3 linked regions of the Macaca mulatta genome follow. Each later gene encodes a partner of the first gene's protein in a complex. Links are inferred from orthologs where the notes say so. Each region holds a gene or a part of one and is shown on either strand. Other genes may lie near its edges.

Region 1 (3,197 bases):
ATCGCACGACTGCATTCCAGCCTGGGTGACAGAGCAAGACTCCGTCTCAAAAAAAAAAAAAAGAAAAACACACTATTCTTGGCTCTTGGCTCGTGGGCTGCAGTTGCCAACCAACCTACAACGCTCCTATGCTCCTAACTCCCTGACCCCTCTATGACATGTTTTCACCCTGCTGTGACATGAGCTTGGTCAGCTTGGGCTTGGCTGTTGGCCAAGGGGAGGCACTGGGTCTTCCTTGTTACTGCAAGACTGGCAGCTAGTACGCATTTGCTGACTTGAAGCAGTGCCTTTTATGGGCAACTGCAAATCACCTGTTGGACTTTGGGACCCAGCATCTTCCCAGGAATTTCCATTCGGGTAACCAGCACCCCTGCTACCAGAGAGCGGCCCTGGGACCACCCAACACTCTGGGCGAGACCAGGGTTGGGTTCTGCATCCCTTCCCCAGGCCCTCTTCAATCACATCCTCTAACCCTGCTGGTCCCAACCTAGCTTTGAGATCCGTCAACCTCTTCACAAAGGCTGCATGAACTCCAGAGCAACCCCGCTCCTGGCAGCAGCCTGTCCTCAACTGGCCCTCGTGTCACTGGGGTCATGACTTCAACTACAGCCCCCATATTTCCTACAGATTTACAACCAAAGAATGTTCCTCTCCCAGGCCAGGCATGGTGGCTCACGCCTGTAATTCCAGCACTTTGGGAGGCCGAGGTGGATAGATCATAAGGTCAAGAAATTGAGACCATCCTGGCCAACCAACATGGTAAAACCTGGTCTCTACTAAAAATACAAAAACTAGCTGGGCATAGTGGCGCACGTCTGTACTCCCAGCTACTTGGGAGGCTGAGGCGGGAGAATCGCTTGAACCCGGGAGGCGGAGGCTGCAGTGAGCCGAGATTGCGCCACTGCACTCCAGCCTGGGTGACACAGCAAGACTCCATCTCAAAAAAAAAAAAAATGTTCCCCTCCCAGGTCGCTTCTCCAGCCTTTTTAAGAACCCCAAGTCCCGGGCCAGGCACAGTGGCTCACGCCTGTAATGCCAGCACTTTGAGTGGCCAAGGCAGGCAGATCACCTGAGGTTGGGAGTGCAAGACCAGCCAGACAACATGGAGAAACCCCATCTCTACTGAAAATACAAAAAATTAGCTGGGCCTGGTGGCACATGCCTGTAATCCCAGCTACTTAGTAGGCTGAGGCAAGAGAATCGCTTGAACCCGGGTGGAGGTTGCGGTGAGCCAAGATTGCACCATTGCATTGCAGCCTGGGCAACAAGAGTAAAACTCCGTCTCCCAAAAAAAAAAAAAAAAAGCACCAGTCTCCCCTCATCTTGAATGAGTTCATGGGCTATGGCTCCGCTGCACTATCGCCTTCTAAAATAGAAATCCTGCTCTCCCTCCATTCCCTTTTTATTTCAGGAGATAGCAATCTATTTAACCTCCTTTCAAAATCAGCCGGGCAGTCACACCTTAACATGAGTTCCCTTGTGCTCTGTCATCTCCTGCCTGCCCTCCTTCTCCAGTCATTAAAGAACAAAGTGCTCTCAGCCTCCCGCCCCAGACCCACACACTTCCTTGGGTCTCGCTCCAAAGAGGTGACAGCAGAGGGCAGTGCAGACACCAAAGAACCCTGAGCCTGGCTTCCCTAGGACCAGTGTCGGCCAACAGAAGCAGACCAGGCAGGAGGCAGGAGGGAGAGTGGTGGCGGCCAGGGCGGGGGGGGGGGGGTGGGGGGTGGTTTGAACACACCCTTGAAAGCCAGCAGACCCCCTGGCAGCACACAGGGTAAGAAGAGCTCCCTGGCTGGGCTGCCCTTCCCGGAAGACCCCTCTGAAGGCATCCGGCCCCCTAGGCCCCTCGCCACCAGACCCACCGCCTGCCTGAGGCCTCCATAGCAGACAGCAACTCTGTGACAAGACAGGAGCTCCGATGAAGGAGCCCCATCCCCAGCCCACCCTCCCATGTTTTCCCCAAAAGTCTTTCCAGAGTTAAAGGCCTAGCCTGTGGTCACGGCAGGGCAGCGGGGCCGGGCTCACCGCGCTTCAGTCTCTCCATGGCACTCTTGCTCCCCGCGTACGTGGGTCTGATCTCCTTCCCCAGCTCTTCAATGATGGCCAGCAGCTCCGCGTATTTGCTTTGGGGCACTTGGCTGTTCCCAGTTCCCTAGAATCAGAAAGAAATTGGTTCAGCAAAATTAGCTGGGCATGTTGGTGGGCACCTGTAGTCCCAGTTACTCAGGAGGCTGAGGCAGGAGAACTGCTTGGACCGGACCCATGAGGCAGAGGTTGTAGTGAGCCAAGATCGCTCCACTGCACTCCAGCCTGGGCGACAGAGCAAGACTCCATCTCAACATCTCAAAAAAAAAAAAAAAAGGGGTTCAGCAGCCTGACCCCAAGGCCACAGGCAGGTGGGTGGAGAGGCCCCTGGGCCGGTCAGAGGAGGGAACGCAGTCCAGCCTTAGACTCCTGGGGTAGCCACCTCAGCTGGGCCAAGGCACGTCCCATTCTAGGGGACAACTACAGGTTAGGGGGATGGTCCTCACCCTTCTATCCTCACACACTCAGGAAGACCACCCAGTCGCCTCCAGGAAGCAAGTGTATCATCTCCAATGAACAAAACAGGGGAACCAGCTCATCTTGGCACAAAAGAGTCCAAACAGCATTTCCCAGGATGCAGATGAGTAGGAGGGCACATCGCAGGTGCCGAGCCTCCAAGCCAGTGGGGAGACAGAGGCCGCACCTGGGCCACCAGGACCACAGCCATCGGCCATGGCCCCGCCAGAGCCTGGAATGCATTCCCTTCTCTCATCCTCCCACCCACAGGGCCCACCCCCCAGAAACCCTTTCCTCCCACCACCACTGGGAGCCCCACAGCAAGCACCCGGATCAGCGAGGCTGGGCTCCCGGCAAGCCCGCAAGCCCAGACCACCTCCCCTTGGCTGCCTCCTCCCAGAGCTGCACCAGCTCCCTGGGCAAGGTCCTCGCCTCCTCCCTCCTCCACCGCCGCCTCTGTCCCCTGGCCTTGCGCTCTGTCCTCCTGTCCTCATCTTGGTCCAGCTGCTCTGCCTCCCCACGGCACTGCCTCCAGGCCTCACGGGCCTCCTGCCTGTCTCGGCGCCGCCGTCGCATGGCCAGAATGTGGCACTGCCACTCCCGGCTGCGCCTCTGCCTGGCCTCCCGCAGCCACCGCTTCTTCAGCTGGTCCC
Region 2 (4,188 bases), on another chromosome or scaffold:
GATTCTCCTGCCTCAGCCTCCTGAGTAGCTGGGATTACAGGTGCATGCTACCATGCCTAGCTAATTTTTTTGTACTTTTTTGGTAGAAACGGGGTTTCACCATGTTGGCCAGGCTGGTCTTGAACTCCTGACCTCAAGTGATCCACCTGCCTTGGCCTCCCAAATTGCTGGGATTACAGGCATTAGCCACCATGCCCGGCCTAAAATCTCAACTTTCAAAGAGTCTGGGACTGAAAGTAAAACCATCTCTTATGCCCTTTACCCCATTCATTTTTATTTATTATTATTATTTCTTTTTTTTGAGATGGAATTTCACTCGTTGCCCAGGCTCGAGTGCAATGGTACGATCTTGGCTTACCACAACCTCCGCCTCCTGGGTTCAAGCGATTCTCCTGCCTCAGCCTCCCAAGTGGCTGGGATTATAGGCATGTGCCACCATGCCCGGCTAATTTTTTTGTATTTTTAGCAGAGACGGGGTTTCTCCATGTTGGTCAGGCTGTTCTCGAACTCCTGACCTCCGGTGATCCTACCACCTCGGCCTCCCAAAGTGCTGAGATTACAGGCATGAGCCACCGTGCCCAGCCCTATTTTTATTTTTTATATTAATTAAAAAAAAAAAATAGGCCGGGCGCGGTGGCTCAAGCCTGTAATCCCAGCACTTTGGGAGGCCGAGACGGGCGGATCACGAGGTCAGGAGATCGAGACCATCCTGGCTAACACGGTGAAACCCCGTCTCTATTAAGAAATACAAAACAAAAAACTAGCCGGGCGAGGTGGCGGGCGCCTGTAGTCCCAGCTACTCGGGAGGCTGAGGCCGGATAATGGCGTGAACCCGGGAAGCGGAGCTTGCAGTGAGCTGAGATCCGGCCACTGCACTCCAGCCTGGGTGACAGAGCGAGACTCCGTCTCAAAAAAAAAAAAAAAAAAAAAAAAAAAAAATAGAGATGGGGTCTCACTATGTTGCACAGGCTGGTCTCAAACCACCCACCAGGCCTCCCAATTTACTGGGATTGCAGGCATGAGCCTCCGCACCAGGCCACCCTTTACCTAATTACCCGTTAAGGGAAAATAAATATTTTTTAAATTAAAATTAAGAACACTCAGTGTATATACCTTGTTGAGTTCTTCTATCCTTCTTATTAGGTATGGGTTGCTGGAGGAATTCTCAAAGTAGACATAATCTGTAATTAAAGGAAGTACAGAACTTAATATTTTCAACAGAAAGTTCAGATTTGTCAATCCAAGACTTTTTATGTTAGGCAATTCACGTTTGAAATTAAGCTCATAATTCATTCACTGGTAAAAGCAAACATAATAATGCAGCCTTAATATATTCTCTCATGTGCCTACTATTCACGGACCTTTATTTTCTTGGCATTTTCATTTCAATTAATGTTTCATCAGTTTCTCCTAGACTTCTGTCCCAATATGTCATTTCTTTAATAATAAACAAAAAAGACACCTCTTATCACTGGGTAGTCGGGGCACACTAAACATGTGTCCTCTGTACTATAACTACTTCCACATCTTTTTCCTCCAATACAATTTGCCCTGGAGGCTGCTTCTCACATAAAACTATTGACCTAAGACACATTCAGAGCATGGAGAAAGGCTTCACAGTCCAACCTACATTTCAATCGCTACTTAAAAAAAAAAAAAAAAAAAAAAAAAATCAGATGAGCAGAACAGGTAAGAGGAAGAACACTAACAAACTTTTCCACAGCTCTACCTGGGAAGATGAGGGAAAAAGCGGGTCAGGGGGATCAATTATAAGAGGCAAAGTGCCCTGGGGGTGATATCACCATCTTTTTTACCCTTTTACCATATTTAATCCAGATCCATTTAATGTCTTGTGATTAAGAAATTGCTGCAGGCTTTCAACTAAAAAGATAACATTTTTCAAGTGTGGCTTTTCCTCTCATCTGATAGGCTCGCTGGAAACTTCCCACTGTGTGTTTATCTCAAAGGCAGCTGCATTGTTATTGTCTATCTTAGTGGCTCTTTCGCCGCTGTCTTCTGCAAAGTGGCCTCATTTAGCCAGGCCATTCCCACCACCATCCATCAGAAGCTCAGCTAATGAGCGGAGAAGGAAGAGCCAGTCTCTCATACAAACACGCCACTTATCTGAATTATTATTTTACCAGGAAAGAGGGAGGAGGGCGTCGTGAGTAGGGAGAAAGTTTGTTTGACCTTATTTCTCTCTTCCGCAGACTGGGAAGGAGGCAGGCAGCAGAGCAAACGTCCAGGCAGAGCTCAACTCCCCACCTCCGGCTGAGGTTCCCAGGTCCCACGAAGCCCCATTCGTGGGGGGCTGGACCAGAAACGAAAGGAGGGGGGCCGAGGAAGGCGAGGTGCAGGGCCCCGGCAAGGTGCAGGCCCGCAAACAGGCCTGTCCAGCTGGGCCCCTGGCTGGGCCCCCACCGCCCCCACCCCCACCCCAGGCTCCCACTGAGTGGGGAAGAAGCAGGGGAGGGGATGTCCCCTCATCCTCTCCAGCGCCTAGAAGCCACGCGAGAAGGCCACCTTCTCAGGGGGCTCGACGGGCCCCACCACCATGAGGGTTTCGTGGAGGGAGGTGTCTGGTAATTCGTACCCCCAAGTAGAGGCCTGGCCCTAAACACCTGGCGGGGTGCGAGGGTGAAGGTGGCCCCGGCCCCTCGCGAGCCCCCGTGGGGGGAGGGGAGGGGTGGGGTGGGGGTGGGGAGTCCTGGCCCCTCTGCGGGCCCCGGCGCCCCCGCCCCCTGCGACCTCAGCCCCGGCGCCAGTGGCTCCCGGCAGTTGGCGTGCGCTCGCCCCGGCCCCCCGGTCCCGGAGCCCGCTCCCACACGGGCCGGGTCGGGCTGAGCCTGCCTACCTCCGACCCGGTACATGTTGGCCGCCATGTCCGCCCGCCCGCCCGCGGAGCCCGAGCCGAGCCCCGCCCGCCGCCGCCGCCACCTCCTCAGCCTCAGCCTCGACCGCCGCTGCCGCCGCCGCCTCCGCTGCTGCCTCGCCACGGGGGGGAAGGGAGGGAAGGGAGGGGACAGGGGGAGGGGGAAGTGAAGGGGAGGGGACGCCGAGGGGTGGGGGCTGGTGCCCGCCCCCAGCGCCAGGCTAGCGAAGCCTAGTGGGCCGGGCCGGGGGAGGCCCGGGGAGGCCCGAGCGCTGCGGGACCAGCGGGAATTGGGGGGGAGGGGGAGGGGGAGGGGGAGGGGGAGGGGAAGGAGAGTGGGAGGGAGGGTGGGGGGCCTCGCTGGAAGTGGAGGGCCCTGGAGCCAGGGTCCTGGCCGAGGCAGAGGCCTGCGCTCAAATGCGGACCAGGGGCAGTTAGAGAATTAGAGTGGGGGCTGGGGCTCAGCCTCTCCCCAGCACCTCTTGCCCCACCCAGTGTACCCCGTCACCTGTCCACCCCGAGACAGGTCCTCCTTTCCTACCTCTGTCCCTGGGGACCCCCCCTGGGGCTGACCTGGTAGGCGAGCGCCAATCTCAATGCAAACTCTTGGACGCAAATAAGTACAGGCAGCAGGGTGCCTTCCTCGTGGTGAGATCCAAGGGGCCGGCCTGGAGCCTGCAGGCTCTAGGGCCAGGAAGACCCTGGGTGCTTCCCGCCTCGCCAGAGACCCGGCTGGGGACAGAGGTTGAAAAACTCCCTTCCTAGGCTACCCTAACTGCATCATCGTTCACCCCAAAACTGGGCTGAGCAGAACCAACTCTCCAACACCCAGATGGAGGCCCTGGCTCTAGACAGGCCCTATATATGCAGGGCCTGTTCTGCTGGGACCTTTAGGAGTGGGGGGCTTCCTTTGTCCATGGGGGAACAGGGCCCTACAGTTCACAATCACCACCCCCAAAAAGAGGAGATTCTGTTCAATCAGCTTGATATGGATGGACACTTAGCTGGTTATGTGCCTAAAGCTTCTAAATGATTATTGTCCCAAGCCAATTCTCTAAACAACCTCTGTTTTCACGGCCTTCCTACTCTCACAGAAACAAAACAAAAAAAAACCAACAACGTTGAATCTTAGCTGGCTATCCCCCAAACGAACACAAATAACTTTCTTTAGAGAAGCCAGTCCATTCCAAAGTACTCCCAGACATTGGTGCATAATAAACACGAAGAGGATTTCTTGGTGTGGTGGCTTGTTTGGAATGTCTGGTGATACACAGCTGTGTGCTGTCGACTCTGGGTTTGACATCTGTGCGGGGCTA
Region 3 (3,295 bases), on another chromosome or scaffold:
TACACCCAGAGGTGCTCGAGTGGTTCAATGGTAGAATTCTCATCTGCCAAATACACCACACAGCTAGGTGAGGAGATCCTCCTATAACCCCATCACCACCACCAAGGTGGTATACATGTTACCCTGGCTGCCAGCAACTTCCAGAATTCCTTAAGTGAAAGGGAGAGGGGAGTAAGAGGTGGGAAACAGAGGAAGAAACACCCCCATTCTCCTTTCCTATGGAGGCCACCAGTCATCCAGAAAGCTCATCTCAACTCCTGTGAAGGAATCTGGGCCAAGATGGTGCTTGGGCTCCATCACCACTGGGAGCTGGGGAGCAGTTTGGATCCCACAAGAAGGCTAGCTGGAGCAAGCCGCCTCGGTCCAGGCTGCATATCTCATAAAGCTGTTCCCAAGGCAAGAACCATCTGTACCTCCTTTGTTGTCCTTTGTCCTTTATTTTCCCTGTCAAAGACACCCCCAACACACACACAACACACACCCATGGCAAAGAACAGCTGAGCCAGGAGAAGCTGAAGAAAACAGCTTTTTATTTGTTACTATAAGAACCAATTACAGAATCCGAGGTTAAAAAAACGGACAAAAGATCTTTATTTCTGAGAACTGGCGTACAAAAGGCGGAGGGGGAGGGGAGGGAAGGAAAGAGCGAGCATGGCCTGGGGTTGATGCCAGCTTAGGGGCCTCAAACTCCAATTAGGATAGTCCGGACACCGGACAGAAAGAGAAACCCCCAATTAGGAAAAAAAAAAAAAAGACATGGCAGTGCACGCCCCCCTCCCCCAACCAGGTACCACCACCTGTTATCTGTTTACTCTTCCCCTCCCCATCCCCTTTCACAAAGGGAGGCAAAATTTTTAAAAAATTAAAAAACCCTCCCCCCAAAACTGTCCAAGACATCTGTGGGTCCTACCCCCCAAAACAGGCTAGGTTCCCACATGGGCCAAGTTCCTGCAGTCTGTCCTCCATCAGCAAGCATGGAGGCATGAGACAAGTCTCGAGGTTGTAACACCAGAGGGCGCCCAACCCCTCCAGGGACGCACACTCACTTGCTCTCTTCCTTACTCCTCACTCCCTTTGACACGAAAGGGAAGGGAGGTTTGGGTGCCCTGGGCATCCACCCTCTACCTCTCAGCCCACCTCCCTCCCCCACAGGTGCTCAATCCTCCAGGACAATAGGCTCATTAGTGCTGGCAGGATGTGAGGGTGCAGGTAGAGGGACAGGGGGCCGCACTGCCATCAGCGTTGGCTTCACCTTCAGGGGCAAGTTGGGTCGGCGAGCAGCTCGCCGCATTTCCAGATGGGTCAGAGCCTTCCGCAGGGCCCTGGCCAGAAAGAGCAAGTGAGAAACAGAAAAGGCTTAGAGAACACTAAGCCCTCCAGGTGAAGCCCCACATTCCACACTGCAATTCTGCCTTCTGGCCCATTCTTTTCTGGCATCCCCACCCTGCATCCACAACCTTCCTAGAGCTCTTGCTCTGAAACTCCTACTCCCCACACTCACAGCCTGGACTGTCCCTCTCAGCCCCTCCCATGGTAGACTCCCTACCTGGTATCCTTTGTGGCCACAAACACCACAGGATTGGGGGCATCAGCAGGGTTTAGTTTCTGACGCTTGGCGGCTGGCTGTGAGCTTGAACGAATCCCTGAAGCCAGAGGCCTTCCATTGGCAGAGAAAGGAACCCCTGCCCCTGCCATCTGGAAAAGAGGCAGGATGGCACAATGAGGGAAGGGACCCTCTCAGACTCCTATGAGAAACAAAAGCCCACCCAACTCAGCTTGGCCCACCCCTTTCTGTCAACTCACAGTCTCATAGGCCCGTTTCACCATAATGCCCCCCAGTCCCCGGTTCTGGGACAGCTGGTTTCTGTTGATCGGTGTCTTGGTACCCCGAGGTGTTTTTGGTTTCAGGGGTGCCTGGGCCACTGGAAAAAAAGTAATAGAAAACTTTCACACCTTTTCTTCCCTACACAGTTCCCCTTTGTTACTTCCATCTCTTCCCCTGGACCAGCAGTTTACCTGGGCATCCCCAAAAGTAGCAATGGGGTAAGGTTCTGGCAAGCTATCACTAGTATTTCAAATATCAGTATAACCTTATCAAATCAGTACAGTAATACTGAATAGTTTACAAAAAAAATTATTAAACAACAAAAGTACAGTTTGTTAGACTAAATCTCTGAGGACACTATGGGGAAGAAGAAAACAAGGGGAGAGAAGATGTTGGACAGGGAACGGACTGGGAGCCTGATGCCACCCTCACTGGTCCTCATCCCATACCCAGATCTTTGACGATAGTTGCCAGGGGCAGCCGCACCAGAGGGTGAATCTTCAATGGAGTCTTGGCGGCCTTAGGAAGTCGAATGGAGCCTGCAGAACAAAGATGAAAGCTTCTGAAGGGCTTCACCATTCAGGTCTCCTCTGAGGCCAGAAGCCAAGTCTAATCTTTAAAAAATTACCTGTGGCCTACTATGCCTCCTGTTATTAAACATCCAGAGAAACAATCGTCTCTGGGCAGAGCAACCCTAAACCCACCACCAGCCCCATCACTCCCTGTCCTTACACTCTGCTTTGATGGCATTGGCATTGATAGGAGCATACGGCCGTCGGGCAGCCCTCCTCGGCTGTAATAGGTCCCTGCACATGCGTCTGGCAAGACGGGTCAGTTTCGTGGTCTGAAGCAGGAAAGTTTGCCTGTTCTTAGCCAGTAGCTTGGCCCGGTTGGCGCTGGTTGTATAAGGGGAGAGACTTTGAGCTTCAGGTCTGGACAAATGACCCCTCGAGTGTGGCTCCTAGAAGAAGAGCATAGGAAAGAGAGAGAGCAGAAATCAGCATCGAGGCTCCCTTCTTTCTTCCATTCCCTGCAGAAGACAATTTATTCCTGCCTAATCTCTTTACTGACCTCTTGGCCTATATGTCTCCCCAACCAGCATCAAGCACCCCCTGCCCATCAAACCATCACCATATAAAGAGTTGGATATTCTGGCCCTCACCTAAGCTCACATCAATATGCTTACTGCTCTCCCCTGCTTTTACCCCCACTGATCCTTACCGTGGTACCCCGAGTGGCTCCCTCAAGCTGAGTTGGGGTCTTCAGTCCCCCATATTTCTTCCAGTAGATCCAACAGGAAGCACAGAGGCGGCACTGCATGTTAGGTGGGCCCCAGGCATACCACTGAGCAGACTGTGTGGCTGCAGAGCATGGAGAGGAGGGGGACAGGGAAGAAGCATGCTACCTGAGCCCCACAGATTCTTGAGCCACAGCAGGCCTTCCACCCATCCCCACCATCCCAGTGCCCCC

The links.
Region 2: CDK2AP1 (region 1) and MTA3 share a complex: the UniProt entries of both Homo sapiens proteins name them as parts of the nucleosome remodeling and deacetylase (NuRD) repressor complex. The link is inferred for Macaca mulatta from reciprocal best matches to the Homo sapiens genes CDK2AP1 and MTA3.
Region 3: CDK2AP1 (region 1) and MTA2 share a complex: the UniProt entries of both Homo sapiens proteins name them as parts of the nucleosome remodeling and deacetylase (NuRD) repressor complex. The link is inferred for Macaca mulatta from reciprocal best matches to the Homo sapiens genes CDK2AP1 and MTA2.

What each region holds. Positions count from the first base shown.
Region 1 is NC_133416.1:130,669,580-130,672,776, forward strand, and holds part of CDK2AP1 (cyclin-dependent kinase 2-associated protein 1), read right to left. Parts: intron 2,156-3,197; coding exon 2,029-2,155; intron 1-2,028. UniProt on the Homo sapiens protein: Inhibitor of cyclin-dependent kinase CDK2. Also acts as a component of the histone deacetylase NuRD complex which participates in the remodeling of chromatin.
Region 2 is NC_133418.1:82,262,136-82,266,323, forward strand, and holds the start of MTA3 (metastasis-associated protein MTA3), read right to left. Parts: upstream 2,893-4,188; 5' UTR 2,883-2,892; coding exon 2,855-2,882; intron 2,531-2,854; exon of another isoform or gene 2,191-2,530; intron 1,182-2,190; coding exon 1,114-1,181; intron 1-1,113. UniProt on the Homo sapiens protein: Acts as a component of the histone deacetylase NuRD complex which participates in the remodeling of chromatin.
Region 3 is NC_133419.1:11,471,709-11,475,003, reverse strand, and holds the end of MTA2 (metastasis-associated protein MTA2), read right to left. Parts: intron 3,187-3,295; coding exon 3,047-3,186; intron 2,787-3,046; coding exon 2,558-2,786; intron 2,365-2,557; coding exon 2,275-2,364; intron 1,923-2,274; coding exon 1,804-1,922; intron 1,696-1,803; coding exon 1,547-1,695; intron 1,323-1,546; coding exon 1,157-1,322; 3' UTR 514-1,156; downstream 1-513. UniProt on the Homo sapiens protein: May function as a transcriptional coregulator. Acts as a component of the histone deacetylase NuRD complex which participates in the remodeling of chromatin.